Alligator mississippiensis: one gene and its partners. The protein of the gene in region 3 interacts with the protein of the main gene of each other region in a biochemical or structural test. Links are inferred from orthologs where the notes say so. Each region holds a gene or a part of one and is shown on either strand. Other genes may lie near its edges. The genes, in order: EIF2AK2, THAP12 and DNAJC3.

What was found.
Region 1: the proteins of DNAJC3 (region 3) and EIF2AK2 form a complex in vitro, tested with the Homo sapiens proteins (2 studies listed by BioGRID). The link is inferred for Alligator mississippiensis from reciprocal best matches to the Homo sapiens genes DNAJC3 and EIF2AK2.
Region 2: the proteins of DNAJC3 (region 3) and THAP12 form a complex in vitro, tested with the Homo sapiens proteins (2 studies listed by BioGRID). The link is inferred for Alligator mississippiensis from reciprocal best matches to the Homo sapiens genes DNAJC3 and THAP12.

The regions. Positions count from the first base shown.
Region 1 is NC_081824.1:166,421,987-166,431,984, forward strand, and holds the start of EIF2AK2 (interferon-induced, double-stranded RNA-activated protein kinase), read right to left. Parts: upstream 4,501-9,998; 5' UTR 4,478-4,500; coding exon 4,242-4,477; intron 4,078-4,241; coding exon 3,875-4,077; intron 2,006-3,874; coding exon 1,897-2,005; intron 1-1,896.
Region 2 is NC_081824.1:469,817,513-469,827,695, reverse strand, and holds the start of THAP12 (52 kDa repressor of the inhibitor of the protein kinase), read left to right. Parts: upstream 1-5,980; 5' UTR 5,981-6,128; coding exon 6,129-6,217; intron 6,218-10,183. UniProt on the Homo sapiens protein: Upstream regulator of interferon-induced serine/threonine protein kinase R (PKR). May block the PKR-inhibitory function of DNAJC3, resulting in restoration of kinase activity and suppression of cell growth.
Region 3 is NC_081824.1:367,687,099-367,697,677, reverse strand, and holds the start of DNAJC3 (dnaJ homolog subfamily C member 3), read left to right. Parts: upstream 1-6,031; 5' UTR 6,032-6,090; coding exon 6,091-6,172; intron 6,173-10,579. UniProt on the Homo sapiens protein: Involved in the unfolded protein response (UPR) during endoplasmic reticulum (ER) stress.

The DNA of each region.
Region 1 (9,998 bases), about 200 Mb from region 3:
AGCCACTGGCGGGAATATTTGAACACTCGTGGTGCATGGGCCAAGTCCCGAAGGACTGGAAAAGGGCCAATGTGGTCCCCATTTTCAAGAAGGGGAGGAAGGAGGATCCGGGCAACTATAGGCCAGTCAGTCTCACCTCCATCCTCAGCAAAATCTTTGAAAAAATTATCAAGGCTCACATTTGCGAGAGCCCGGCAGGACAAATTATGCTGAGGGGAAACCAGCACGGGTTCGTAGCAGGCAGATCATGCCTGACTAATCTAGTCTCTTTTTATGACCAGGTTACAAAATGCCTGGACACAGGAGTAGGGGTTGATGTCGTATACTTAAACTTCAGGAAGGCCTTCGATACGGTATCCCACCCCATACTGGTGAACAAATTAAGAGGCTGTGACTTGGATGACTACACAGTCCGGTGGGTGGCGAATTGGCTAGAGGGTCGCACCCAGAGAGTCATGGTGGATGGGTCGGTTTCGACCTGGAAGGGTGTGGGCAGTGGGGTCCCGCAGGGCTTGGTCCTTGGACCGATACTCTTTAATGTCTTCATCAGTGACTTGGATGAGGGAGTGAAATGTACTCTGTCCAAGTTTGCAGATGACACAAAGCTATGGGGAGAAGTGGACACGCCGGAGGGCAGGGAACAGCTGCAAGCAGACCTGGACAGGCTGGACAAGTAGACAGAAAACAACAGAATGCAGTTCAACAAGGAGAAATGCAAAGTGCTGCACCTAGGGAGGAAAAATGTCCGGCACACCTACAGCCTAGGGAATGACCTGCTGGGTGGCACGGAAGTGGAAAGGGACCTTTGAGTCCTAGTGGACTCCAAGATGAACATGAGTCGGCAGTGTGACAAAGCCATCAGAAAAGCCAATGGCACTTTATCGTGCATCAGCAGATGCATGACGAATAGATCCAAGGAGGTGATACTTCCCCTCTATCAGGCGCTGGTCAGAACGCAGTTGGAGCACTGCGTGCAATTCTGGGCGCCGCACTTCAAGAGGGATGCGGATAACCTGGAGAGAGTCCAGAGAAGGGCCACTCGTATGGTTAAGGGCTTGCAGACCAAGCCCTACGAGGAGAGACTAGAGAACCTGGACCTTTTCAGCCTCCGCAAGAGAAGGTTGAGAGGCGACCTTGTGGCTGCCTATAAGTTCATCACGGGGGCACAGAAGGGAATTGGTGAGGTTTTTATTCACCAAGGCGCCCCCGGGGGTTACAAGAAATAATGGCCACAAGCTAGCAGAGAGCAGATTTAGACTGGACATTAGGAAGAATTTCTTCACAGTTCGAGTGGCCAAGGTCTGGAACGGGCTCCCAAGGGAGGTGGTGCTCTCCCCTACCCTGGGGGTCTTCAAGAGGAGGTTAGATAGACATCTAGCTGGGGTCATCTAGACCCAGCACTCTTTCCTGCTTATGCAGGGGGTTGGACTCGATGATCTATTGAGGTCCCTTCCGACCCTAACATCTATGAATCTATAAGTCTGAGGACTGCCTGTAATTACTTCCCTCAATCTACTGGCAATGCTCCTACTAATGCAGCCCAGTATGCTGTTAGTTATCTTAGCAACAAGGGCACACTGACTCTCATTCGGCTTATTGTCCACTATAACCCCCAGGTCCTTTTCTGCAGAGCTGCTGCTTAGCCAATCAGCTTCCAGCCTGTATCAGTGCATGGGACTGTTCTATCCTAAGTGCAGGACTTTGCACTTGCCTTATTGAACCTCCTGAGATTTCTTTTGGTCCAATAATCCAATTTGTCTAGGTCTCCCTGAATCCTACCTTCCAGCATACTACTACTCCCCCAACTTGGTGTCATCTGCAAACTTGCTGAAAGTGTACTCCCTACCACCTTCCAGACTACTAATGAAGATCCATTGGCCTCCATTATGAACTTACTTGGGATCATGAGGTGGGCCTTCCTCACTGACAACCTCATACGACACCTTTAATCCACATGCTTGACAATATTCATTAAGCTTTTTCTTAGATGCCATTTTGAACCAACCTGCAAGGGGGGAAAAATTGACAGTGAATGTATATTTTTAGCATTTGTCTCTGCCCCAAGAATATAAGAAAGCAAACACAGAGATGGCAGCCCTATACTTCATGGGTACAGACACAGATCCAGGAAGTGTTTCTGAGCGTAGAGAATTATAGGCTGTTTTGCTACAAAATATTTGTTGCATGCTAAAAGAGGTGTGTTGAGGAGCTCAGAAACAGCCAAGCATGCCAGAGAGAAGAGGTAGAGAGGAAGTGAGGTTCAAGAAATATGGTCACACTAAATCAGTGGTTCCCAACACAGTGCACGCTGGCGCCATCGCCCAAGTTTTCCTGATCAGTAAAAATAATTATTCCATTAAAAAAATGCTGTCATATTGTAGCAGAAAGCCCCCTTTTCCTCTTGCCTGTATTTGCTCTCCCCTCTTTGGATATGTTTCTCTTTTTCTACCTTTTCTTCTTTCCTCTCTCTCTCTCACTTTAAGATAAGGAATTGTGTTTTAAAAGTTGTGTGTGTGCATTTTGTATCTCCTCTTGTATTTTGGTATTTTTATCTATTTGTGTGCCATGGCATTTGTAGCTTATATTTGATACTCCTCACCTTTCAACTAAATGTGTTTTAGTAAGTTATACATTGTAACAAGGGTAGGAATCAAACTGTCCTTCCCTGTATGAAACTGGCACCTGAAAGAGGGAGTGAATCAGTGATTGAATGTGTAACACTGTAGCAACAGGCAGCAATTAACACCTGGAAGCTGCAGATCAACCAAGGGAAGAACTCAATAGAAGACAACGGAACAACCGCGAAATCTGTAAACCTCACTGATCAAGGGCTAGAAGCCCTGGCCTGAGTTAATCAACGCTGGGGACCAACTTTTGGGCTGAGTATCTCCAGATCAACCGCTCCCAGAGCCCTATTCTAAATTCATCAACGGACTCCCAAACCTGCACGTACATGCGGACGACCCCTGGGACTGACAGATGCCATCCAGTAGCCACTGGGGGGGGGGGAAGTTCCACGAGGGTCAATAACCCCTGGATTGGGCAAACCTGAAAACTGGGGAGTCACCAAAGTCTGCCAGGGACAAATAAAAGGCAGTGAAAAGTGACTGTCATTGGCGCCCTCTTGATCTCCAACTTGACCAGACCTGTCCAGCCAGAAGGACCAGCCGGTGACCCCCTTCTGGAAGATAATACCACACTGAAAGAAGCCATAACGACAGACTCCAGTGCTTGTAGGATAGGTATACCTGACTCTGTAGAGTGAGTGTGAGTGTGAGTGTGTGTGTGTGCCAGACGCAAGGTTTATGATTACGGTGTTTCAATCCGCCTAATAAACTAGAATTTTAAGGATCCCAAGTTGGACATTTGTAGCCACCATTATTGATGCCTGCTGCTTTTTCTTTTAAATTCAAATGTGCCCTTGGGCACACAAACATTACGAATCCCTTCCCTAAGTAACGATGGATCCACATTTTTTTCTTTTACCCATCCCCTCCTTCTAGCAGCGGTGTGTGGGGTGGGAGCAGGGCCGGACACAGGCATGGGCAAACTGGGAGACCACTCAGGGCCCAGACAGAAAGGGGGTGCAAAAATAGTAATTTTTTTATTATAACTATCATGATCTCTGGTGAAGGGGGACTAAAAGTTTGCCTGGGGCTGTCAGCAGTCTAGGTAGGGTGGGAGGGAGGAAAAAATTTGTATTAAAAGCTTTTTGGAAGCTTGGACTCCAGCTGCCTTGTGGGGTCGCGGGGCCAAATCTGGGCCAGTTTGGGGGAGATGAGGACCTTACAGCATAACCCTCAAATGTCCCCTTCCCCAAAGAAGGCAGGGCATGTTGTGGGCAGAGCAGCCAACCCCGCCCCGCCCCCTTTACCTGTGGCAGGTGTGGGCGCTAGGTCTGCGCTGGTCAGTGGGATGTAGAGATCGGAGGATAGCTCTGCCCAGAGGCTTGGACGATCCGGCCTCAGGCAGGGGCTGCACCACACGCCAGCCCTGGAGGGCGCTTCCAGCTGCTGTCCCACTGCCTGCCTCCCACTGGATCCTGCCGGAAAGCTCCTCACGCAGCTGCCTCCTGGACTAGAAAAGGGCCAAACCTTGAGCAGGGTGCTCCCGGCGCCCCACTCCTGCCCCGCTCCCCACAGGATCCCCAACCCGGGGAGGGCGGGGAAGTGGTGTCCTTCCCACTGCTTCCGGGGGACCCGCTCCTTGCACCACGAGGCCCGGACGGTGCAACCACTCACCGCCGCGCCACTCGCTGCAGCCGCCCGGTTTCGTTTCCTGCCGCCGCGCCCGCCCTTCCCGCCGCGCCGGGAATCGAAAGCGAAGGCGCGGAGCAAGCGGCGCAGCCCACGCCCGCTGCGCCTGGCTCGGACGAGCTAGGGCTGTCGGAGGGCGCGGTCTTCCCCCGGCCGGCCCCGCGCGGGAGGCGCGCCGGGCAAGCCGAGCCTGGGCGAAGGCACACGAAGCCCGGGGGCATTGCTGGCCCGTTAGGGCCGGATGAACGCAGGTGCCTAGGGCCCTAAGTGAAGAAGTGCTTATTTTTACGTATTGGAATGGAGTGGGGGGGAAAGTCATATAAAAGTTTCTCTCTTCACCTGGGGGCCCACGAAAGGGTGAATCCGGCCCTGGGCCCTGTTCCTCCAGCCAGAGGGTGTCAAGCGGAACCAAGTTATGAAGGAGCCGCATGTTCAGAGGATGACACAGCACTTCCAGAGCACAGGGGGCCTTTAAAGCATCGCACCCAAATGCACTGATGTATTCATTAGCCTCAGACACGCATCTCCTCCACGACAGCGGTTCTCAACTGTTTTTGTATTGTACCAGGACTAGGGTGGCTGTCATAGAGGACATGCCTGTGTCCTGCTACTCTGTCCCCTATTGATACAAAACCCCACACCTTTATGTTCTCCATTTTTCCTCTTCAACAAAAAAAAAAAAAAAAAAAAAAAAAAAAAAAAAAAAATAGGGGACATAAAGGCATCTGGTTTTGTAGCAATAGAGGACAGAGGACAACCAGACTGCCCTCTATGATGGCCACCCTAACCAAGACCCATTTGTAAACAGCAATGGCTAGTCCCAATTCAGTGCCCCTCACTCGCAACCAGCTGCCCCCCAGCCCTCCAGTGTGTGGGGCAGGAGGGGCTGGAGCTCTGCCAGCCTGCAAGGGAAAAGCCACAGTTTCCCACATTTTTCTCCTTGAAAGGAGAATCCATTTTTAAACTTTGTTTGTGACCCTTTCATATATTCTTGCGACCCACTTTTGGGTCATGTTACCAGATTTGCCCATTACTTTGGGGTGTGCTCATTTATTAGGGATAGTTTCTAGGGTCTTGGTAATTCTGTCAATGTGCTGCTTGTGTTACTATATGGAGCTGCATCTCTCCCTTCTTCAAGCCCTCACCCCCAATGAAGCTATCTTGCAGGACTCAATTTCAATGAGACTGGGTTCCTCCAGTCACCAAATCAGTCATACACACAAACACACACAAATTAACGTGACACGCCTGACCTGGCCGGGCTGATCAGCATGGACAGGCTGACACCCTCATATGCCAAGAATCAGTTCATCAGAGCAACAATAAACTGCAGTCAGACACAAGCACACAGGTAAACAGAATCCCTCTGAATCCGGCTGGGTGTCCAGCTGACACCCTCATGGGCCAGCATTCAGTTCATAAGGGCACGTCTGAGTCAAACTGGGTCAATCAGCCTGTACAAGCTGATCCCCTTATGTGTTTCAAACTCAGCACGTCCCAATCTTTGGCCTCTTGATGAGCAGACCCCACAGTATTTTTGGGCTTCACAGGGATCTTTAGCTTAGGTAAAAGAAGCGTTGCTGCAGAGCACGGGAGGAAAGAGAAGCAGAGAAGGAAAAATATACCCAGTTACTACCAGTTTGACTATAAAAGTTATTTATTGCTAAGCATATGAAATATATAATAGTACTAGTAGTAATAGACATGCAAAAGAAAAAAAAAAACAAACACAGTTACAATACTACCCTGGTTTCACTAAGTATTTGGGGAAACTTAGCTCAAGCTTAACTAATACAGTTCAGGTTCAGAAATCTATGCCTAGAGAGAAAAGAGAGAGAGAGAGTGCTGGGATCTCACCAGTCCAAGGTACTCAGGCTGCAAAGCTGACAGGCACAGTCCTTGAAGGGAGATGATCTGTTCTTCCAGCGTCCCAAGAAGAACAGGGAATGGTGTCAGCACAGGAGTTTTCTTCTTTCTTTCTTGAGCACTCACACTTTTTACAGATTTTTATACCCTCAGTTCAGCTGCTTCAAAGCATCCTCAATTGTGTAAATCATTGTCTTTTCTATTGACAAGGGGTTATCTGGTTTGGAACACCTCAAGAAACTGACTGATAATCAGGAAATACATAAGATTAGGGAGTAACCAAATACTTGGGAGCCAGCTTGAAATTCCTATGGATAGCAGATATACTGATGGGATATCTCATGGGTTCTTCAGAAACAATAGATAGCCTGCAGCATCAGGATTTTGGATTTTCACTTGTTGTGAACAAGCCTCAGCTTAGCATGACTTTTCCAGATCTTATTATAGTCTTTTAACAGACTTATGACAATTATTGGGGTGCTCATAACCTTTTGTGGAGAGGACTCCCACCAGTCATCTTGGGAAAAGTATGACAACACCTGTGATTAGGGCTCCAACAGGCTGGACACTGCAATGAACCCTTAACCATTGTTCAAATGTTGCCCCTGCCCCCTCTGACTCGGTCTCTTGCCTCAGCATTCCCTAACCCGGCAACCGAGCTTTAGTCAATCAAGTTTAAATAGGCCTCCCATAGTGGGACCGGGAAATGTACGGCCCAAGATGCCTATTAAACTTAGAGGTGGGGGTGTGTGTGTGGGGGGGGGGGGGGGGAAGGGAGTCCTTTGTAGATCCAGATTAGAACTGGTCTGATAAATGCTGAGCTGGGTGTGTGTGAATATGGGTTGATTAGCATTTGGAGCACAGATTCCCCATCATGCAGTGCTCCCCTGCTTCTCTGGTCCCAGCATTCATTGCAGTCTCTGCTTCAGGCTTTCTGTTCTCCATCTCTCATGTAAATGAATGGTCATCAGGTTCTATCTCAGATGCAAATGAGACCTAGGGCAGTTGTTCCACCCTTGTCAGCCTTATCTGGAGGGTCTTAGGTGTGTCTCTCACTGCCTCTTAATCAGTTTTGTTTATGTAGAGAAGGGGGGGGGGGTGAATCAGACAGACTGCATCCTGTGCCAGGGTTCCCAAGAACACACAGCTGAGATGTAACAGTCATGACCCGCAGGTTGAGAAACACTGCTCTAAGAGTGCTAGAACGCCCATTCCTACAGCAGATGGATGGGCGAGTAGGGATTTGTGGGTAGACCAGCAGCCTTCATTAAATCACACCAATCAATAGTGAGTTCACAAGTTTCAGTATTTGCAAGTCTTTAAATCTACCATGAAAGTCATCTGATAATTCAGGGACAGTCACACTGTGGCACATGTCACAAGTGCCATGGGCTACCTCTGCATGTGGCACTTGCCAGACTGGGGAAGAGCGCACACAGCACAGACACAGATGAGGCAGGGAGCAGAAAGCAGAGCAATGGATTGGGCAGGGGATGGAAATCTGAATGGCAGTCAGGCCAGATCCAGATATGCAGGCACATGTGGTTTGCAGCACTGAAAACCTCTTTGCAGTGCCACAAACTATACCTGGCATGTTAAAGCATGTGCAGCACTGCAAATTTGCAGTGTGGGGGCAAAATTTGTTACTGGAAATTCCAGTAGCAAAAAAACCACTATGAAAAAAGAAGTGGTGCGGTGTATGCCACAGGAGTGTGCACTGGCAGACAGAGGCTTAGTCCTTCCAGAAGATGCTTTGGCTGCTGGCCAGAGATTTTTTTGGCCAATACTGATGGCTGATTATTTATCAGCCATATCAGCCAGTATTAATCCAATTGCAGATATGCAGCCAGGCAGCTTGGAGGGCAGTGTCCGGTAAGTCTGTGCGGTGGAAAAGGGCATGGGGAGAGGCAGACTGAGGCCCTGCAGTGAAGGAGGGAGTGGGACTGGGGCTGCAGGTGGCTTGTCGGGGGATGGGGGTGGCAGCTCCTGCCTCTGCACACACCTCCAAGGTAGACTTGGGGGGCATGTGCCCCCAGATCTGTGCGCAGGACAAGAGCAAGTTGCCCACTATGGGCTCAAGGCTGGGGGGATGAGCCAGAGCTACACTCAGAGAAGGGAGGGTCAGGGGTGGGGTAGGCAGTGGCAGTGCTGGGAGTGGGGCTACAAGGTGGGTTACAGCCACCCCAAAGTTCACTATAGCCACCCCATGGCCCCCCCTCCCAGCATCACCACCACCTCTCCAAATACCGCCTGCCCCAAGTGCAGCCCCAGCCCAGCCCTCCCACTTGGAAGAGGCTGGCACAGCCCTCAGCCCACCCTCACCTCACACACAAAATACCCTTTATGCCTTTCCTGGGGAGCACGCAGAGGCAAGGAGCTGCCCCCTCCCACCCCCTGCATCCCCCAGATCAGCCTCCCATGGCTCCATCCCATGCCCCACCCCACCCAGGCTGAGCAGCATCTACCCCTGCCCCAGCCCCACTCCATCCCTCACTGTGGGGGCCTCAATCTGCACCCCTCTATGCCTCTTCCCCCACACCTTCCCCCCTACAGACTTACTGGTTGGATGCCACTCTCCAAGCTGCCAACCTGCGTTCCTGGCCACGTGACCCAAAGTCAAATGGGGGTCCAAAGTTCAGGGACTGGGTACACAGGCTGAAACACTGGAACAGGCTCCAGGGAAGTCACACAGACAAGAGCTACATGCAGACTGAGGCTATTTTGTTGCACAGCGGGGGCTAGGTGCTGCCAAAGCTCCTAAGAGCAGCATTGGAACCAAGCAGCAGGCTCAGGCTCAGCTGGTCCTACTTAAGGGGTTGAGTGTTAGTGACCAAGTTGCCTGACTGCCATGCTAAGGCCTTACAGGTGTAATGAGACCTACCTTTCACCACACCATTGTAGGAGTTCTGTCCACTGCAGTACTGGCAAGTTTACCTAGCGAGACGCTAGCATTCTCCAATGCATTCTCTAGTGCATTTGTTAATTCCATGCGTTGTTTCTTTAAGAGCCACAATGCCTGCCATTTCTTTCTTTACATTTCCATCTATTCAAATATAGCAAACAAATATTACTAGTTGTGGTTGGTCTTTGAATTTGTCAGCAGAACAGATCTCTTATATGGGCCTCTTTAAATTATTGGAAAACATTGGCTGCCTACCAGAACTCAGTCAGCATAATCTACCCTTTCCATGACAGAATGTGGGGAACAGTCAGCTATAGGGGATCGACATCCAAGGCTTTTGAGATTCAAAGCAGAGTCAAGCAGGGCTGTGTCTTTGCCCTCATCCTATTCAAGATTATCTTCTCTTCTTCTGACCTACACTTGAGATGGTATAATCAGCTTGAGCTCCAAGGGTGGCTGCAACACCTCCTAGTGGTCACACACTTCTTACCCTGCTCCAGCTCTAGGGTGCCCTCCCCTTCTCACTTGTCTGTCATGCCCTTGATGTAATTGTTTGGATTAAAAGGGGGGCTGCCCAATAGGTCCTAGAGCAAGCCCCAGTTCCTCTAGCAGCCAGCAGGTTCCTCCTGGACTCAAGCCTGCCCTTAAGCTGAATGGGCACTCTTGGCCCATCTGTGCCCCAGGACACCTGTAAGTCTTAAGGGCTAATTACATGGCTCCAACTGCCCCTTACGCTACCCGTCAACGATTTCAGTGGACATTTGGCCCTAGTTCAGTACCAGGCCACCTCAGGCCTTTATACCCTTGTCAGAGCCTCAGCCTTCCTGGCCCCAGCCCCTTTTCTCTTTCTTGTTCTCTTATCCCAGGATACTGTGTTGGGCCTAACTGCTGAGTCCCAGCCTGAATCTTAGCCTCTCGGGTTGGACCTCACTTAGTAGAAATCTGATCAGTGGCCTATGCCCATCTAAGGCTGT
Region 2 (10,183 bases), about 100 Mb from region 3:
TTTCATGTCCTTTTTGCAAAGAGCTCATTGCAGGCTAGACCTCTGCAGAAAGCTGTTTGCAAAAGGGGAAACACAGTTCCCTGCTTCAAAAAGGAAAATCCACATTTTCCAAAAGGAGATTAGACAAGCATCTGACTGGGGTTACTTGACCCCAGCGCTTTTTCCTGCCCAGAGCAGGGGGTTGGACTCAATGATTTACTAGGTCCCTTCTGACCCTAGAAATAGATGAAATCTATGAAAATCAGCATTTTTCTCCTTTAAAGGGAGGAAACCTGTGTATTTCCTCAAGAAACAGAAAACCCAGATTCCTGCTAATGAAATATATAGATGAAAATCAATAAAATAAGAGCATATGCAAGGATTCTGGAATCAAATCCACAAAGTGTATGGCTTTTTCCCCTCCATTTCCTACGACTGCCAGAGTTGGAACCGCTTGTTCAGTGGTTTCACGAGGCTCTGTATGGAAGCAGGAGCATTTTTGGCATAGAGCAGAGAACTCTTTTTTTCCTCCCCCCGCCTTCTTTATCCTGTCTTTTGTATATCAGTTCACACCGAAGGTTAGGATTATTTGTGGATATGTCTTCGAGTCACCAGTTGGATCCCTTAGTAGACCCAATGGGAGCACAAAACTAACAACTGCAGATTCTGTGGCCCGGTGAGGAGGGCACTGTCCTGAGAAGTGGAGGGGGGCACCAGGGTACTACTTGCAGCTCCAGAAGCTGTTTCTGCATTTTGCATTTAATAGTCATTGGTTAAAATGCATGTACAGCTAGAAACCACATCTGTCTTCCAGGCCAGGCCCCTCCTCATTGGGACACAATCACTCTGCCTTTGTGTGTTCTCCTTCTGGCTCCCTGACTGTCCCGTGGCTGCCCAGCTTCAGCAAAGGCATGGAGGGTGCTCTTGGTCCTGGTTAGCTCGCAGTTGGTGGTTAGGGTGCTTTGTTGGGAAGTAGGAGACATATATTCAAATCCCTCCCCACCTGAGAAGGTCTGAAACCTGGGTCTCCCACTCCTAGCCACGTGGTCTAACCACTAGGCAAGCTCCTGAGCTAAAAGCCAGGGGACTGTCCACCTCCTGTGATCAAAGACGGTGTTTATTGAGGTAGATACCTAAAGGCTCAACAAATGTGTCTTAGCAGGGGATTAGGGTCTGGCCCTAAAGGTACGCCTATCCTACAGTGTGCAACCTAAGTCCCATGTCACACTCATACATGCACCTGCTGAGCCTACCTGCAAGTCACACTCAACCCACCCCACCTGTTCTCATATTTACCTTGGCACTGCATTTGCTCAGGTTACACTATAGGTTTCTTGGGAGCATAACCTCACCTCCGTAACATGGGCTGCTCTAGGAACTGGTTCATGGTGTATTGTGGGAGAGCTTGTCTAGGGCTTCTGGCCATCCATTTCTGTGCCAAGCCATTGAATCAATCCACATGGGTGGGGTTTTTGCCAGGATAGATGAGGCCATCGTTTGCCTGCCAGAAGACGGTGACTATGCCAGCTACAAAGTTGTACTGCTCCACAGCTCTGCAAGGCTACAATGGTCACAAAGCTCAACATGAAGTCTACGGGGAAGGGTCATGGCACCAAGGTGCTGAATAGATCTGGCATTGATCCATTTGGACAAGTAAGATCCTTATTCCTTCCTAATGATTTGATTATTAGCAGGGGTCTACGCCCATTATTATTTTATATCTTATGATACTGTACTCTGATCTCATAACAACTGTCAAGCGAAGACTTAATTACATACACACAGTGGTTTCAAGATGCGGTGGGCTGAAAGCAAAATGGAACTGCCTGCAAAAGCATTTGGATGCTAGTCTGGACAGCTTAAACCTATGTTATTGTGGCATGCAGCACCATAGTATCATAGGAAAATAGGACTGCAAGGAACCTCATAAGATCATCTAGTCCAGCCCCCTGTTCAAGCAGGATCATCCCTGATTAAACCATCCCAGACAAAGTGTCTGTCCAACCTACTCTTGGGAACTTCCGAAGATGGAGATAACACAATTAATTTCTCTAAGTCCCCGGTTCCAATTCTTGACCACCCTCAAAATCAGAAATTTCTCCTAATCTCCTACCTCAATTTCCTCTGCTGCAGCTTGAGGCCATTGCTCCTAGTCCTGTCCCATACAGCCACAGAGAAAAACCCATCTCTATCCTCTTTATAATCACCCTTGTGTTACTTTAAAATTTAGCTTGGGTGGAGAGCGAGATTAATGATCAGTGAGACCATTCCAGTCATACATCAAAAGCCTTATTGGGATATGCTTAAGCACTAACTTATTTACAACAATAATTATAATACTCGCATAGCCTTGGAGTTGAGAGAAGTCAGGTCAGCTGGCCCAGCATCGCCACTTCCTCGGTGATTCATAAGGGTCAAAAATGCTCAGAGGAGGCTTGAGTGATCCGATTCCTTGCAGCTACACAACTTTTTTACGCTTCTGGCAACACCTGGTTAGTCACATACACCATTTCATATTTGGCTAACCTAATTCTGCATCCAATCAACACCTGTTTTCTTCTTTCCTTTAGGTTGCAAAACACAAGCCCTGCCTGCCAACCTGATACTTGCTTAACTTGGTCATGTGCACTTGCACCATCATGGCATTACTCTGGCCAAGTGGGGCTTGCCAGGCCTACACTTTGGGTATTTGAAGACTGCTATCAGTTTTTGATAGTGGGTGACTGAGAATTTAACGTCAGTGCTGTGTGTTTTAAGAGTTTGGCTTCATTAAAAGCTTTCCATGCAGCTTCCTGGCTCTTTTCTCAGACCTCACACCAACCTCCTTTATAACCAGACCACTTTATTAATGAATAGATATTAACACTTTCATAGCCAAGTTGGTGGACAATCCCACCAGTTTGTCCACAGATAACTGTTCACAAATGTGAAAACTAAAAGCGAAACAGATTGATGATGCCATGAACCAAGATCCAAGCCCCACAAGTCTCTGTGAGTGCAGATCTGGATATCTGAAAGGTAATACTTCCTGCTCTGCTTCCCTTTCTGAACAGGCTGCTTTGATTTTACACAAGCGTATAAGATGGGACGGGACGAAACGCACAGGGTCTGTCTTTCCATTTAAGCTCAGTGAATCATGTATGAATTGCCAAGAGTGTCAAACTTGTTTGTCCCTGCAGGCTGGATGAGTGGGTGAGGGTCTGGTCCACATGCCAGATGAAGGGTGTGAGGCCAGATCAGGCCCAGAGACCCCTCCCATGCTGGATCGAGTGCACATGGCACCTGCTTCAGCCGGTCCAGGACCCAGTAGAAAGAGGCACAGCATCCCAGCTGCTCGGCTGCTGCAATGGGAACAAACTGTGATGCTGCCGGACTGAACAGGCTTACCAAGGAACCAAAAGGGGTTGGAAGCTACATAAGCAATCGTTAAGTAGGGCAAACTTCCAGGACTCTTGCTGGCTGCCCTGAGGTTCTGCTGCATGAATAGTTCTCTAGCACCACTGCCTTGATTGGGGGAAACTGTGGGATATAATTAACAGGTTACCGAACTAGGATCCAGAGGCTTGCTGCCAGCAGAGCATTCCCTGCCCTCCTCCCCTAACCCAAAACAGATGGGTCCAAAGGGTCAAATGCAGGACCTTCTGCTTCACAGAGCCATAGGGATTTCCTTGCTATCTCAAAAATGTTGTGACTTCTTCCCTCAAATGAAGCAGAATTCATCCCACTTTGTCCAATAGCCTCCAGAACCATAGTTAGTCATTACCCAGGAATTCCTTCCACTTAAGCTATCATTTTCCTTCTGAAAATATTAAATCGATGACTGCTGCTTGCAGGCTGAGGACCCAGCTTTTGTGCTGCTCCCCAGGCCCATCCTCAAAAAAATCTTTGGAAAAGAGACCCAGGACTCACAGGCTCATCTTGCCACCTGGTTCAAACCCCGATTCCTAGTTCCACAGACTTTCTCCGACACCACCTCTTTCTTCACCACGTCTGGTCCATCCCCTTTCTCTTCGGTCTGCATGTCAAATGGTCCTAGATCAGGACCATGTTGTGTAGTACTGTGAGCTCTGTGTATGGGGCAGTGCCAAGGATGCAGTTGAATGTCTCCTAACAGGGGCAGGGAGACAAGGCATTGCTGGATCTGCTGCTGCTGCTTTTGCCCATAGGGCTGAAAATGGCTGGGGAGCTCCTCTGGCAGGACGGGGGCTTATGCAGCACTTAGGGCTCCTTGGATGACCTGTTCAATCAACACAGCATGTCATCTGAAATGAGCAGGTATATTTAGACTAACAAGTAGTTTGCAGTGAGCGAGAAATGGAAGGGCAAGAATCTCCTTTGGCAATCACTCCCAGATGAGGATGACTGTCTTATAGATTATGATTGTCTTATCTATATGACAGAAGATGACTGACAATGAGGCCTATCCAGGATTGACAGACTCTACTGCAGCTCGGATATGTGTTTATCACAGTAAAAGTGATCCCGCTGTACATGGTTTTCATGAGGAGGCAGGTAGACAGGCTATGTTTAGGGCATCTTTTCAAGCCCATGCGGGGTGAGCAGAGCGGATCTTGAAGAGGGCTGCTCGGTCGCAGTTACGGCTGCCGAATCACACTCCTGCCTCATCCAAGTGCTAGACAACCTTCTTGTAACTGCTGCCTTCGTGCCAGTTCACGACTAGGAGCTTCCAGCCCTCACAATCCTGCTCCCGTCACCATTAGCTAGTCACCAAAGGGCTTGAGGAATGTGCTACAAAAGCTGTGTTCATGGAAGAGGCCCGTGCATGACTGCTTTTATTGGGAAGAAGCTGCTGCACATCGGCTTCCACATGACCTGACAGAGCGGGACCTTGATCCACTGGCAAAGGGACCAAGATATCTGGGGATCCCGTCCTGCTGCAGCCTTTATTTGCCTTTGCAGCCATTGAGAGTCTAATATCTTCTTCCATCTGCTCTGCCGTGGAGCACTTGTAGACCCATGGTTGGGGGCTGGCTAGGCTTGTTATAATGGCAACCTGTACTCGCCATGTCACTGCACCCTCAAAGGATATATGACTTTTCAGGACTTTTCACACCCAGTCTCCCTGGCCCCAAACCAGCCACCATTAAGCAGTGGAAAAGTTGCTCCGTGACTTGGATTTGTTCCCTCAAAGCCCCAAACAGCATGCTGAAAGGGGTGCATGACAAGCCATTAACTGATTCACCCTGAAGTGAATGCAAAGGTTATTTGTTCGAGCCAAGTTAAGTCCTTTTAGACTTAAAAACAGGAACCTTGCAGAAAGCATTATAAAGGTTATAATTATAAACCAAGGCTTGTATCATTATAAGCCAAGGCTATAATTATATTTCCTCATCCCTTTACAATGTCTTGTATCAGCCAAGAGAGCTACAGCCCAGACAGGAAGGCATTGGCTGCAGCAAGGGAGATCCTGGTGTGCAACAGCCTGGGGACAAAAGCACTTATGCACTGACTGCCTCTCCCCTTACAGAAAAAAAGATATTTCTTTGCAATTTCTAAGCTAGTCTAATAAAAAGTATCATTTTGGAAACAAAAGTTCTCGACTTTTGCATTTCTCCCATTACAGGGCACGCGCCCTACTAATGCCTTCTGCGCATGCGCACGCTGACCCCTTGCTTAAGCCTGCTGTCTTCTGCGCATGCACACGGCGATCGCTCACAGCCCACTGGTGCCGTCTGCGCATGCGCAAGACGACCAACTGTCCCTGCTCAAACCCCCACTGGTGTCTTCTGCACATGCACACCACGACCACTAATCACTTAATCTACTGGCGCCTTCTGCGCACGCACATCTCGTCCGTCAGGCGCACGCGCACTACAGCGCGCCAGCTTCCCCACGTCAATTCCCCGCCCCTTCCACATCCGGGTTCCAGTGGCTGGCTGCGGCAGCTGTTGGGTGGGGGGGGGGAAGGGAAGGGAAGGGACGGGGCGACGCCTGCGCAGTGGCTCGCAGGCCCGGCGCGCCACCGCGGGGCATTGTGGGAACGAGGCGGCTGTGCCCCGGCGGAGGGTGGCGGTGAATCCTCCCGGCCGCTCACAGCAGTGTCGAGCCGCTTCCCCGCCCCCTCCCGCCGCGCCCCCTCCTTGCGGCCCGCTGCGCGGATTTAAAGGGGCAGCGCCCCGGCGCGGGCCATGCCGAACTTCTGCGCCGCGCCCAACTGCACCCGCAAGAGCACGCAGTCCGACCTGGCCTTCTTCCGCTTCCCGCGCGACCCGGCACGGTGAGGGGACCCCCGCCCCGCCCCCTCCCCCTCCCCCTCCCCCTGGCTCAGGTGGGGGCGGGGGTGACCCTAGCCCACGTGCAGGGCGGGGGGAGGGGGGGGTGAGTGTGATGGCAGTGGCCCAGAGCCAGGTGTGTTGGGGGAGTGTATCAGTGTGAGTCAAAACAGATAATGGTCTATTGAGGACATCTTTATGGTCCGCTCCTTGAATCCAGATGGGCTGCGTCCTCCTGAGAAGCACCCTTGTAAACTATATTATTGCAATATCATTATGAAAGTGGCTGCAAGTCCTAAAAAAAAAAAAAAATGGAAGAGATTTAAGGGTTGTCTGTACTTAGCTAACTTGCTAGGAGTTATTTTAACTTAGTTTAACTTTGTAATAGGCTGTTATTAACCATGCTTCATACAGGGGCGGGTCATTATTTCAGCTGGAGCGCCACTTAACGAGTTTTGGTGAGCTGTTTGAGGGCCGAACACGCACGGTCTTTCGGAAGATATCGTTTTAACTCGTAGATAAAAAAACAAAAACAAATCGTATATTAAAAAACATAATTTTATTTCAAAAAATATTTTTTTTGTTCTGATTTATGGGTTTTTTTTTTCGAGGAGTTTATGTAAAGGCAATTGCATAATAGCTCAAAATAATCTTACTCTTGTATATTAGGTGTGCACTGAGTCCTAAAAGCTGAGTTGGGGTGGGGGAAGGAGGGGCAGCAAAGCTTGCCGGGGCAGTGCTAAGTCCACCCCCTTTTTCTGGCCACGGCCACCCTTGCAGTGTTATGCGTGAGGCTGAGCCAGTGTGTACAGCTTCCCAGTGGGGCTGCCTTTCCCCCACTCGGCCACCCACAGGTGGCTACTAGTTGTGCCAGGTGGGTGAAAAGTGTCCGGGAGTTGGAGCCGTGCACGCTGGGGTAGGAGCCGCTCAGTTGCACCTTCCCCTTGCTCACCACCACTTCCCCACCCTATCTGCTGCCTACAGGGCAGGTGAAGGGAGCGCCACGGGAGGCAGTGGGAACTGAACAGCACCCAGATAGCTGCAGTAGCCCCATGGGGAAGCGATGCATGCCGGCAGGGGCTGGGTCCATCCGGCATGCAGGAATGCAGCATTAGCTGTCCTGGGAAGGAGCGGGCCAGACTCGGCCCCATCCACAACACTGTGGGGGCAGCTACAGGCCAGATGCAAGTCAATTGGTGTGCGCCTGCCACTGGACCAGATCCAAACGGTTGGCGGGCTGGTTCCAGCCCATGGGCCGTATTTTCCCCATTCCTGTCTTAATACATAAAGAGGGGAGGAAAAAATCCCCAAAACTTCTCGAGTGCTGTAAATAGTTTTTTTGGGGTTTTGTTTTGTTTTTTACTGTTGAACACACGTTGAATGGATGCTTTCCGATTTGGTAATATAGAAGAGCGTTTTTTAAAAGCATTTTATGCTAGATATTGCCACGTTAGGGAAGTGACTGTTGGTATTGATATTTTGACACATAGTCAAGATAACATCATTGACAGTTATTCCACGTGGAAGTTACTAATTATCTTGAAAGGCTTCAGGAGAACGATATTTTTATTAGGGCTGTGCAACGCTTCGGTCGCTGGTTTGATTCAGCAGAGATTTGGCCCAATTCGGTGGCTGGAGCTGAATCAAATCAGGAGACCCTTTAATCTCTCCGAATTGAATCAGAACCCTCTGAATTGATTTGGAGAGATTCGATGATTCGGCCATAGACACAGTTTTAAATGGGTTTTTTTTCTACATACCTCAAGGTACTGGGGGCTCGTGAACACTAAGATGGTGAGGTGGGTGGAGCGTCCCATGGGAGTGCGGTGGGGGTCCCCAGCATACTCGGCAGCAGACCTGGAAGTGGACTAGAAGCACTTCCAGGTCCGCTGTGGAGCATGTGGGGGACCCCTCCTGGCTCAGCAACTGGTGCCTCCTGGGTCTGGGGGGGACGTGGGGTCCTGCTGCGGCTGATTGCTGAGCAAAGAGGGGCACGAAGGGGGGCCCCCATACACTCGGCGGCAGGCCCGTAAATGGACTGGAAGTAGTTCTGGGTCCACTGCCGAGCATGCAGGGGGCTTCCCTGCACTCCTGTGGGACGCTCTATCCGCCCTAGCATTGCAGCGTTCACAAGTCGCACCTGATACCTCGAGATATATAGAAAAAACATTTAAAGCTGTATCTATGGCTGAATCGCTGATTCTCTGAATCAGCATCGAATCTTTAGATTTGGATTCGGCCGGATTGAATCAGGACAGTGATCCGAATCAACAAATCGAATCGCTTTTCCCTGAATTGGCCCGAATCCAACTTGAATACGGCCCACTTTACACGCCCCTAATTTTAATGTCAGTTGAAATGGTTCAGTGCCTGCTTAAAGTGAATGCTGTGCAAGGTTGAGTATTAACTTGGTTTTAAGTAGATTGCACTATTCTTGGCATTTGAGAATTTGCTGATGCGAGATACCAACATATCTCAAATTCTGCACAACAAGAAAATTGCACATGCTTTGATTCATTCTTATCTTTAGCAGCATGTAACTTCTCAGCCTCTCTAGCTCAGATCTAGTACTACTCTCCTTAATCAAAAAATAAATCTGAACTGAAAATTATGACTTCAGTATGATTTGTCTTGGATTTTGGCAGAGATAGTTACGCTGCCTACCCTGGCTTGGGCAGAAATATTTTTTGGTCAATTTGGCATGCTTCCCATTTTTTACATCAGAATTTACTATTTGTGAAGAAAGAAGAATGCCATCTGTTGTTAGACTCGGTGGTTGTAGGACAAGGTGCTCATTATGGTAGTAAAAACTGCGATTTAGTCGCAGAACTGTGAACTTTGGAAACACGGGCTCAAATCTGCACAGATGTAGCACTTACCCTCATAGGGTACATCCACACATGCAAGCACGTGCACTTGTAGCAGCTCAAATAGAAACGGAACAAATTTGAGTCAAGGCTTTTTGCCTCGGCACACGTGGTTGGACATGCACTTTGTTGTGGAGCAAATTGTGCCACTTGGGGCAAAATAACCCTGCCTGGCCATCTGGGCAGCTATCGCCCGAAAGATGTTCCGTGTGTGGTGGCCTGCTTTGAACTGTCAAAGCATGTCCTCCTGGCCCCATTTGGACAGGAGGTCAGCCACAGCCAGCTGGGTCCAAGGTACCAGCTCTGAGCAGGCAGGGTCCTGCCACCCGCCTCCCTAGCAGGAATTGTGGTGTTCCCTACTGGAAAACTGAAAAATCCCTTATGAAAAAAAAAATCCCAAAGTCACTGTGTAAAGTACCCCCAAATCCATGTTCCTCCACAAGTAAAACAAAGACCACTATAAAGAGAGAGAGAGTGAGACAGACGGCGATCGTTTGGGCAATATTTTATTGATATATCTAGTGTTAAAGCAGTGTGGAAGCAGCCCACCAGTGTCTCTATCATAATAATAAAGTGAACTCTAAATACATGTCACATGAATATATAGTTTGCTACCACCCCCCCCACCAAGGCCCACATGCCACACCCCAGCCCCCCCACTTGCTGCCTCACCTGGCCCCATCCCCTGCCAGCTGCTGCAGCCCCCCATCCCCCCAGTGGCTGCCCCAACCCCCCACTTGCACCCCCAGCCCCGATGGCTGCCCCCCCCCCCCCCCCCCCCCCCCCCCGGGACTATTCCCAAACAAAAAAGGTCTTACTCTAATGCAGTTTTCTAATAGTAAAAGAAGACAAATGATTTTTTGCATGCAATCAGTAGATTGTTTTTTCCCCTTAAACAAAATGGTCCTTTACACTTCCATGAGATGTGTTATTTCTGAAGAACTACTGACTTGTAAATGTTTGTGACTGAAGAAAAGCACTTCAGATTATAAGAATGGCAAACGAGGGAGCAGAGAAAACCCGAGCAGGTCTTGTCTGTGCCAAATATTTTGTTGGTAAAGAACTTGGAAAACAGTTCTACCTGACCATAGACGTATCAGTGGA
Region 3 (10,579 bases):
AGAAAAAGGCTAGTACGTTCTCACCCCTGAGAAAACGCCAGGCAGATGCATCTGGAAAAGGAGGAGGACAGAGTCTGGGATGAGTCATGAGAGGAAGAATATGAAACCACAGGATCATTGTCATATTTGTATGACAATTTCAACCCTTGTATGATATACCATCAATAACAGTAAAAGTGTTCAAGATGTACAATAATTTTTGAGACAGCTCATTGGTATAGCATATGCAAAACCCAAGCCACTCCCGGGGAGTCTTAACTGACTTTTGGGCCTGCTGTCAGCACTGTCTTATGACCAGGGATCCTGGTTTTCTCTAATAACCAAAAATCCCAATTTTTTAAATGAAACACCACGATTATATATAATAATAGTAATATATATGAGCTAGACTGTTCTTAGTGGTAGCAGATGACAGAAGCTCTCAAGCTGCAGCAAGGGAAGTTACGGTCTGATATTACGAAATATTTTCTCACTAAGAGGGCAGTAAAGCACTGGATCATGTTACCTAGAGAGGTTGTGGAGTCTCTATTCTTAAGACCCAGGTAGACAAAGCCCTGGCTGGGATGGTCTAGTTGGGGATGGTCCTGCTCTGAGCAGGGAGGTGGACTGGATGACCTCCTGAGGTCCCTCCCAACCCTAATTTTCTGTGATTCTAAATACATATAAATAAACTGGTCTCTATTCTGTGTTTGGCTCAGGAATGAAGTAAGGAAGAAAAATGTGAACTCTGGCTGAATTAATAGCTCCTATATTTGTGCCTTGACACTCTGTGACCAACACAGGATGCATATAGCCAATCATACTACCAACAGAGCAGGCTTGCCAGAACAACAGAAAGTGATGTAACACTGGATTCGAGTGGTTTGGTACAATGTGGTCCCTGTGGCAAAACTTTTTTTGACCATTGAAATCACTCCAGAAGAATCATTAGCATTGTAGGCTGAAATCAAGGCTTATTGGAAAAGACATCCTGAAGAAAAAGGCTAATATGTTCTTGCCTCTGAGAAAACATCAGGCAGATAAATCTGTGAAAGGAGGAGGACAGAGTCAGGAATGAGTCATGAGAGGAAGAGGAAGTTCTAAATTACCAATTGTATTATTACCACAACACTTAAGAGCCCTAGCAGATAAGGAGTACAAACAGTGGAAAGAGTTGGTGCTTGTCCACAAATGTAGTTTCTGTGAATTGCTGAACTGGTTCTCACTTAAGCTTATATTCCTCCTGTTGAAGAGTACTGCAAAGCAAAAATCTCATAATAAGAATGACATGTGATGTACACATTTCTGAATGTTCCTAGTCTGCTCAAATATGACATAAAATTATGTTTGAAATGTTCCTGCAGTAACTGCTGTGGTCAGAGTTACTGAGCATAAAGCAGCTACAGAGCATAAAGCAGCCCAGGGCAGCTGTGACACGTGGGGCCAGTGACAACATCTGGCTGATTTTCGTGACACCAACATAATGATGCCCTGCGATGGCAGCGTTTTTTTCTGCTTTTGCCTTCCCAAGTTGGATCCTGGGACAGCTCCCCCACTCTAGTTACAATACTGGCTATGGTATCAGAAGTAAGCCTTTGGCTGAATAGAATTAACATAAACTTCTTCAGTCATACTGTTTTGTCGGACTTCAGTTTATGCTAGAGGGATTTTTTAGTTTTGCTACAGCTTTTTGGGTAAAGAGTAAAGGAAGCTACAGGAACAATTGAATCCTGACAATGAAAGGAGAAAAAAAACCTTCCACATAGCACTACTAGTAAAGGTGGCTTATGCCCATAATAGATAAGAAAGGCTTGAAACGTTCCAATGGTTTTGAACAGATACTGATACTAACCACAATATATGATTAAGAAGTTAGGATCTTACAAATACCTGAGAGGCAAGAGAGACTTAGGTAGTAGAACTATGAACTGAAGATTACTGAGATTCAACTTAAAAAGTTAATTAAGTTATACAGAAACAGAGGTAAATCACTGTATAGTTCACAATAAGAACTAAATGTAAGGAAACAAAAACATTGTTTGCAATGTTTAATTAAAAGTGATAAATTAACAACACTTAACCAGGATATACATTGTATCAATTATGAAATTAAACCAAAAAGGTTCAAGTAAAGGAATTTTTTAAGGCCACATAAAAAGAAGCTTTCTACAGTGAAATGCAACAGGGCACATCTACACAAAGCACTTTACTGTGCAATAAAACTGATTACTGTGCAGTAAGTGTCTGCATCTACACGTGCAGATGCTTACTGTGCAGTAACTAGCTCTAATCATGAGTAAATTTGCTACCTGCAAATGCAAGCAGAAAATTTACAGGGGCTGGGGAGTTTGGGCAGTGAACAGGCTCTCCAGCTCCTGCCCTGAGATACAGAGTGAGGGCTGGGAACTGTCCTTGTCAAGGGGCAGGTCTCAGTCCTGTGCCCCAGTTGGCAATCAAGATGCAAGGCTTGGAAAGAGTTGCAGATGTGGGGCAGGTCCCAGCCCTCTGCCCCATCTGCCAGTGGGGCACTAGCAGTGAGCCCCCAGCTGGGCAGGGAATCTGAGCCCCCTGCCCCCAATAGGGGAGCTGGGACTAGGAACATTGTCCCCGCCCTGGCAGCAGGCAGCACCCCTGGGGGCATGAAGCAATGTCCCAGCCCCTGCCAGAAGATAGCTGTCTCTTTTCCCAGTGCTTGCTGCCAGATGCATGGCCAGAGAGGCAGGAGCAGTTTGCTGCCAGGAGCATAAATCTGCTCCCGAAACTGTGCATGTGTCTGTAGATGCCTGCCCAGGAGCATTTACTCCCAAGTAAACTTTTTCCAGATCAAATGCACATGTAGACACACCTGCTGCCAACCTTTATATTCATGCAAGACAAGGGGCATAACACTATACTAATTTGGTATAGGCTCAGAATGAATGTGCTTAAAGGATAAAATGTGACTATTTAATAACATAAGCATGTAGAACAAAAGCTAAACCCTAGCAAAGGGTTTTAAAATCTTGAAAGAAATATCTAGGTGAAAGTATATCATCTAAGTTAATTAGCATAACTATTTCTATGAATAAACTGTTAGCACATTCACATATAAACAAGTATAAACACTAACAAGCTACAAAAACCTTTCTTCTTTTAAGGTCTTCTTAAACCATGTTAAACCTATTGGGATCTGTCTTACCACAAACAAATTAGAATGAAAATTGTGTCAACATTTGTAGGAAGTGTTCACACACAGTTAGGATTTTATAAGGTTAATGATGCTAGAGACAGAGGCACAAAAATTAATCTCAGTGTTGGTAAGCTAGATACATTCTATAAAGACTAGAAGTTTGAAATTAGAAGTAGTTTTCGCTTTTTCCAAAATAGCTCACAGCAAAGGCAGTGAGGGGGGGATGAAGGAGAAAAGCTGAAAGTCTGTCTCACACACAAACATGCAGTAACACTTCCCAACAGAGGGTGAAGTGAACAGATTAGATATAAGTCTGAACAATAATGGTTAATGATGTTTATATCAAGGTCATGCTCTGTTCCTTAGCTGATGCAGTGTTGCTTTCAGGGAAGCACAGGAAATAATACTGCTTCTTGGTCATTCTGATGAACTGAACTACTGAGATCTCAGTTCAGTGTGCCCAATTCCCACCTTAGTTTCTATCATTATAAGCAGTTTAAACCAAGACACTACAAGTTGTCAGAAGAAAGAAAAATCAAACTATGGCCTTCAAGCATGTATTAATATGCAAAAACTGCCCTGCCTATGGACTAAGAAGCCAGGAATACTGCAGAAAACTGGATTAAGTGAAAGGTATTAATTAATAGAGCTGATCTTTGCAGAATATGAGGGACATAAGTAGTCTCCTGCTCAGAAAGCCACTTTTCTGACACGTGTATAAGGCACAAAAGCAAGAATATCTGTAAAGCATAGGTCTCTAATGGGACAGTCATTGAAATAGGTAGGAAAAATCCATACAGACTACTCAGACTATGTGAGGCTTATTGTTTCCAAGGTAAAACAGCTCCAATCAAAGAAATATTTTCTCGGAGAGACATCAGGGACCTACGGAAACAATGAGTAGGTATCCAAGTTGTAGTACATAATAGAAGATTGCCTTCACAAATAGGGATGACATGCTGAAGTATATGACCTAACTTGAAGGAAATACAAGAAAATCATTAATGAAGTGTAGTGATCACACAGGTGCACATGAATGAAAAAACCTAAACAATGAACTTGATTTGTGAAGCAGCTGGCAACCTCTGCAGACCCTTTGAAGCAGCTGGCAACCTCTGCAGACCCTTTGTCTAGCTCTCTTAGGGTCGTGTTACACCTTGCATTGTGAGCTGCACAAATGTTAATTCAGGTTAACGCTAGCTTGGAGTTTTCAGCAGTTGCATCTTTAGTCTAGAAATCTCTCTCTCCCACCTACACAGCTATGACTTGCCACTAGAGGCCTGGTGAGCAGGAAGGTCCCTTCCAGCCATACTTCTCTATGCTATGCTTCTAAGGCAAGGCTGGGAGGGCAAGTGCCTAGCTCCCTTGGGCTAGCAGGGGGAAGCCGAGACTGCTTGCTGCAGGGTGTGTAAGAGCTGATGGAGTTAAAAACCAAAGCAACTCCCATGAAACCAAACTAGCAGCTGGCCCATGGGACTATTTCCATGGGGCTAAGACTTGGCACCAGCTGCATTACAGGGGGCAGCACCCCCAGGACTGGTAGGATGGTTTGAGCTGCCCCCAGTTCCCCTCAGGGGCAGCTGTCCCCATGATCCAGGTCCAGAGGTGGCTTGTAGTTTGCTAGCAGGTAGCTGCACCCACTCCAATGTTGAGGGAGCGAAGGAGCACTGCCAAGGCCAAGGCATGCTATCTCTCCCCCCAAGTTGGTTTCACTCAGCAGCTGGGAGCAGAGTCCACCTGTAGCCAGTTTCTATGTCCACACAGGCAGTGGCAGAGTCCTGTGCCTGAAGCCTGGATCCACCTTCAGCCATCCCATCCTGGAGCAGCGGCTTCCTCCCAACCCAAAGCAGCTGCCACCAGTTCTCACTGCATTGCGTGTGGATCAGGTGCATGCAGCAAGGCACTGCTGGAGCCGTGGGACTGGAGCTCTTTGCCCATCAGGAAAGGTAAGGAGAAAGCTGTAGTACAGGCAGTCTTCGACTTACAACATTTTAAGTTGTACAATGTTTCATACTTACAATGTTTATAAATTGACACCCTGTTTCAGCTTTCTGACGTCAGTTTTGACTTTACAACACTTGATCTGACACCACGCCAGGTGACACAACAAACTTGTTCGCTGGCATATCTCCTTGGAGAACATCTGCCCAAACTTCCTTCGACACTGCCTTTAAGATTTTCTACACATTCTGGATAATGATCGTACACCTGCCAACATGAGTGCCTTGTGCCCCTGGAGGCTGGGGGGGCACAGCAAGCTCCTGCTGGTGGTGGTAAGCAGGAAGCTTCTGCAGGTGGCAGTGGCACTGTTGGTGGTCGGGGGTGGGGAGGTGGCAAGCGCTGACCACCCGCAGACACCACCGGAAGCAGCCAGCAGTGATTGTGGACCGTGTGCAGACGCCACTGGCAGTGTCAGTGGCACCTTTTCCCACATGGTGCGCCGCCACACTCAGGGGGTGCACACCCCCTGCGCATTGCCAATGCCTGCCAACGCTGCCACACAAGTAAGAAGGCATTGGCTGAGGCCAGGTTAGCCCTAGCACCAGGACTTCTGCCCCTCTGAAATGTTCCCCCGCCTGCAGGAGAACTTTGCCCCCTCACATCTGCGCTGCCCTCTCAGAAACCGAGAGAGCAACACTTTCATGCCCAGCCCGGCGTGCTCAGGAGGCGGCACAAGCTAGTTATTAAGGGGCTGCACGGACACATGCGCCCTCCCACCACAGGGCAAAGCCCTCAGTGGCGTCATCTCGCGCTTCTGCGCATGCCCAAGCCCCCGCGGGGCGCAAGCGGTGGGCCTTCTCCGCGCTCTCCACGTGTCCTTAGTGGCGGGGCGGGGCGAGCGGCGGCGCAGCCAATCCGCGGCGCCCACGACCCACCCCGGCGAACTTGGAACGCTGGGCGGGGCGGGACGCGCCGAGCTGTCTCGGGGTTCAGCGCAGGCAATGGTGCGTCCCGGGGTGCGCGGCCGCCCGCTGGGCTCGGCGCTGCCCCTGCTGCTGGTGCTCTTCGACCTGCAGTACCAGGGTGAGGGCGCCGCGCGGGGGAGCTGCTGCCCGCAGGGCCGTGCGCGGCAGCGGCGATGAAGGGCGCGAGGGGCAGAGGCTGGGGCGCGTGTCGCGAACTGCCATCTGGCTCCTGCCCCGCGCCTCCCAGAGCTGTGCTGGGACCCAGCTGCTATGTGCTAGGGCAGCATGTCTCCTCAACCCGTGGGTTTCCGCCCCAAGAGTGGGTCGCAAGAATATATGAAAGCGTGGTGCACATACTTTGAAAACGGATTCCCCTTGAGAAGGAGAGAAACGTGAGACTTTTCCCTTTTAGGCTGGCACCGTTCCAGCCTGCCAGGGGCTGCTTCTCCCCCCCCCCCCCCCTTTCCCCCATGGATGCTGGGGGTAGGGAGCACTGGGTTGGGACTGGCCGTTGATGTTAACAGATGAGTTCTGGTGCAGGAAAGGGTTGAGAAGCACTGTGCTAGGGGGTGAGGGGAGTAGGGCTAAGGGGACTTGGGGCACTAGGAGCCAAGGAGGAGAAGGGGGAATCTGCGGGGTGGGCAGTGCCAGCCAGAGTTGGGCCCAGCCCATTCTTGGCATAGACAAGCTCACCCGGGAGGTGCCCTGCTGCCTTGTGGAGAAATGCACTGGGCTTGGCCTCGCCCCAGGATTGCGGCAGCGGGGACCAGGCTTCTAAGGGGGCGGTGAAGATGGGGGACAGTTAATGTGGCAAAGAATAAACCCCCAGATTGAGCCCTTCCCCAGGTACTTTCTGTAATGAAGACACCAGGCTCAAAAGTGAGTGGAGGCCCTGTCTTCTTAAAACCAACAGCTGCTTTAAAATAAATAAATACATACATACATACCATGTCTTAGTCACACTGGAAAACTACATGTATCAAGAGTTCTGTCAGGGTGGCAGCAAGTGCTTTGCTTTCCCAGTCTTTTGGGAGCTACCAGCAGAAGACCAGTTCCTGAAAGTTGAAACAGCTGCCTTGGTCCTAAACAGTGACTTTATTCAACTCTCACTGACTTTTTCAAGTTAAAAAAAAAAAACAAAACTTTTTTTTTTTTCTTCTCCTTTTTTGCTTGGGGTTTTTATTTGGAAGTTTGCCTAGGTCTCTGACAATCACTTTTTAAAAAAACATTTCCTGCATTGGCACCAGTAATAGGGTTTTCAAGGCAGATTATATTCCCCACCTGTACTTATACAGCCAATTTGCTTTCAGATTTGTATCCTTTGTGACACCTGTGTAATTACGCTTAGGGCTGATGGAGTTGTGCAGGTGTCTGTAATGGCGCAGTTGGAAAACAGATGTTTTACTGGTGTCTTTGAGGGCAGGATTTGATCTTTCTTATTGGTGGTGATGTGCAGAGTAGAAGGAACCCTGTGTGAACCTTGCAGCCAAGAGTAAATCTGTGGACTTCTCCAGCGCTGCATTTGAAATGCGTTTCAAAATTGTGCTTAATAAGAAATCTATAATGGAAATGTGCTTCAGCTGGCTGATGGACAATATAATATTAAGCTGGAACTTGGTAACCTGTAGTGTCTGATTATGTCAAAACTTTGTATTGTATCTTCTGGATACTTCTGCTACAGGAAGCAAACTAATTGTGATCAGAAGAATTAGTCTAAGCCAGGAGTTGGCAATGCTGAATTTGGCCTGTGAAGCTGGAGGGCTTTGCCTTTGCCCATGGTGGCATGAGGAAGAGAGGGGCTGGGCCTTGCCACTTCCAGCAGCCCTCCCAGCTCTGGTCTGATACAGGGTGGGTAGTTTCAGCAGCCTGTCAGCAGGGGGAGGAGAAGGGAGGGATTTTTTCCCTGTGCTGGTACCTGGCAGCTGGGAGCAATGTCCACACAACCAATGCTTTCTCAGCTGTGGCATGGGTACTGCTTCCAGCTGGTGGGGAGTTTTGGCGGGGACAGGCATCTACAAAGTATGGTCACCTATACATGCTGATGCCTGTTCTGATGCTTTCTAATTGGAGTGGTCCAGCAGACTTGGCGTCTCATGTTTTCAGTGTTCCCGTGTTTCAAAACAGTGGTGAGGGCACTTTAACTAAAGCATCCCTACTGCCATTTTGAAGCATGGGTTGCTGAATACATGAGACACTGTAGGTGTTTTAATTAGTGGCTCCTGAGAGCTGCTCTAACTACCGCCCCCCAAAGCATGTGTAAGAATGCGCTACGTCCATGCTGCTGCTAGTTTCCACACCACATCCCCTGCCCCAGCTATGGCATGAGTACAACTTCCAGGCAGTGGGGAGCTGCTCTGCAGCCTAGGTTGGGGCGGGGTAGCATGGGCACAGTTTCCAGGTACCTGGTTCCAGCACAGCGGTAGCATGGGCACAGCTCCCAGCTGTGTGGTCCTGGTGTGGGCACGAGCAAGGCTCCCCAGTACTGTCACACAGCTGAAGCCACCTGGCCTACATTAGACTGGAGCTGTGTTGTTTCAGCCTAAGGTATGTAAAAGATTGCTGGCCCCTGGTCTAAACAGTTGCACGTATTCTGAAGCACTTGGAGATGACATACCATTATGCTGATAATTGTGGATATAGAGGTGCCAGACTATCCCAAGTCACTTTCTTATATATGGCCATAGTATGCATGACCTGGTGCCTTGTTAATTGTGGCTGCAGTAGGCATACATTTCCTTTCTAACACTGGATTTATTTTCCTAACAGAGAGCTGCAGTAGACTGTGATAATCTTGATGGGAAGGGTATTATGCGGAACTAGATTGGACACAGCACTCATAAGAAACAATTCTGCACATATTAGGGTGGCCAGAATGTGATGTAATTGGGCACAATTTCTGAGATGCAATATCTCTTTCAAAGCAGCATTTTCTTTGGTATATGTGAAGCTAACAAAATACACGACTAGTATCTTTTTGTCATACACTAGGTGGTACACTAGGTTCTGTTGACTTGCATAACTATATTGCTGAAAGAATAGTTTATTGGAGAATGCATCATGTTGACGTGTTACTGGGAGCCTGCCTCCTCTGCAACACAGTTCATCCCTTCTGTTCCTCACTGGTCCCAAGCACAACGTCACTGGTTTCAGGAAGAGTTGAGGAGATTCTCCTGAAGGAGGGTGCTGAGGATGGTTGAAGAAGTGATGGGTGAATTTATTGCTGGTTAAAAGACACATACTGTGCAAGCGTGTTTTCTGTGAAACTCATTGAATTGGAAGGATAGAGTCATTTCTATATACCTCATGTTTTTCAGTATTGCCAGTCTTTTAGCTCTTCTAAAAAATAGTTTAATCTTTCCAGCTTTTAACTTGTTTGTAGAAGTCCCCTGATTTAAGAATTTGTGTAACAGGCCAGTTTTAAGCTGAAGTCTTATGTGGATGCTAGTTGATAAGCTTGGTTTTATCTTGTTTGAATGTGAATCATGACTGACTTTGGCAGGCAAGGTTCTTCGAGTAGATGTGATAGCTTTTATTAGATGAACTGAGTAGTTGGACTACGTAGTTGGTCTAATAAAAGAAGTCACATCTACTCAAAGAACCTTGCCTGCCTTCACCTTAGACCAACACTGCTACAACCAAAACCCCCACGACTGACTTTGCCATTCTTCCGCTAGTATTCTGGGAACTGGCTTAAAATGAGCTTTGGCTCTTCTGTAGGATTCTTCTGTTTTGTTATGCACAGGCTTAGGGTTAGCACAAGCCCCTTTGTGAACATGGATATTTGTTCATCCCAGTTGGAATAGGAAATGGATGACTGGGGAGGTCCTGTTTTTCTTCTCGCTCCTTTCAAGCAGCAAGATAAAGGACTTATGTGGAGGGAAAGAAGAGTAAGGCCAACAGGGGCTTTTCAGAGAGCTCAACATTTTTAGCCAGGTTTGCTGTTACCAGTCCTTTGACCTCTTCAGGTCTCTTTTCTCACCACTTACCCAGGGATGGTGTCAAAGTGTTATTTCTCTTCCTGATCTGAGGCTGAAACAGATTGTTATGGAACAGTACTGGTGGGGTTTTTTTGTTTTTCCTTCCCTCCCCCAGGACTTAGGTTTTGGGGAGTGGTGGTAAGGAAGAGAAAGAGAGGGATGTCTGCTTTGTTGCTTAAAGTTACTCCATGGTCTTTTTGGGGGTGGGGGGATGGGGAGGAGGTTGCTGGTGTTAACATTGCCTCCTTCCTTTCCAGGTATCCTCTGGGACCTACTTTTAGAATTATACTAGCCAATGCGTTAATTCAGGGGTGTCAAAGATACAGCCGGTGAGCCAGATGTGGCCAGTGGAGCCCTGTCATCTGACCTGTGGTGCTGCCTGCGAGTCCTGGGCTGGGCCTGCATGTCACATGCTGAATGCCCCAGACCCAGCACTATGCACTGATTCAGGCGTGAAGGGGTGGGACTGCTCTGCTGGGCTGGTCCAGGTCATGTGGGGCTAGCTGATCCAACTTGCAGACTAGCCCCTCACTGGCCGGATGAGTTAG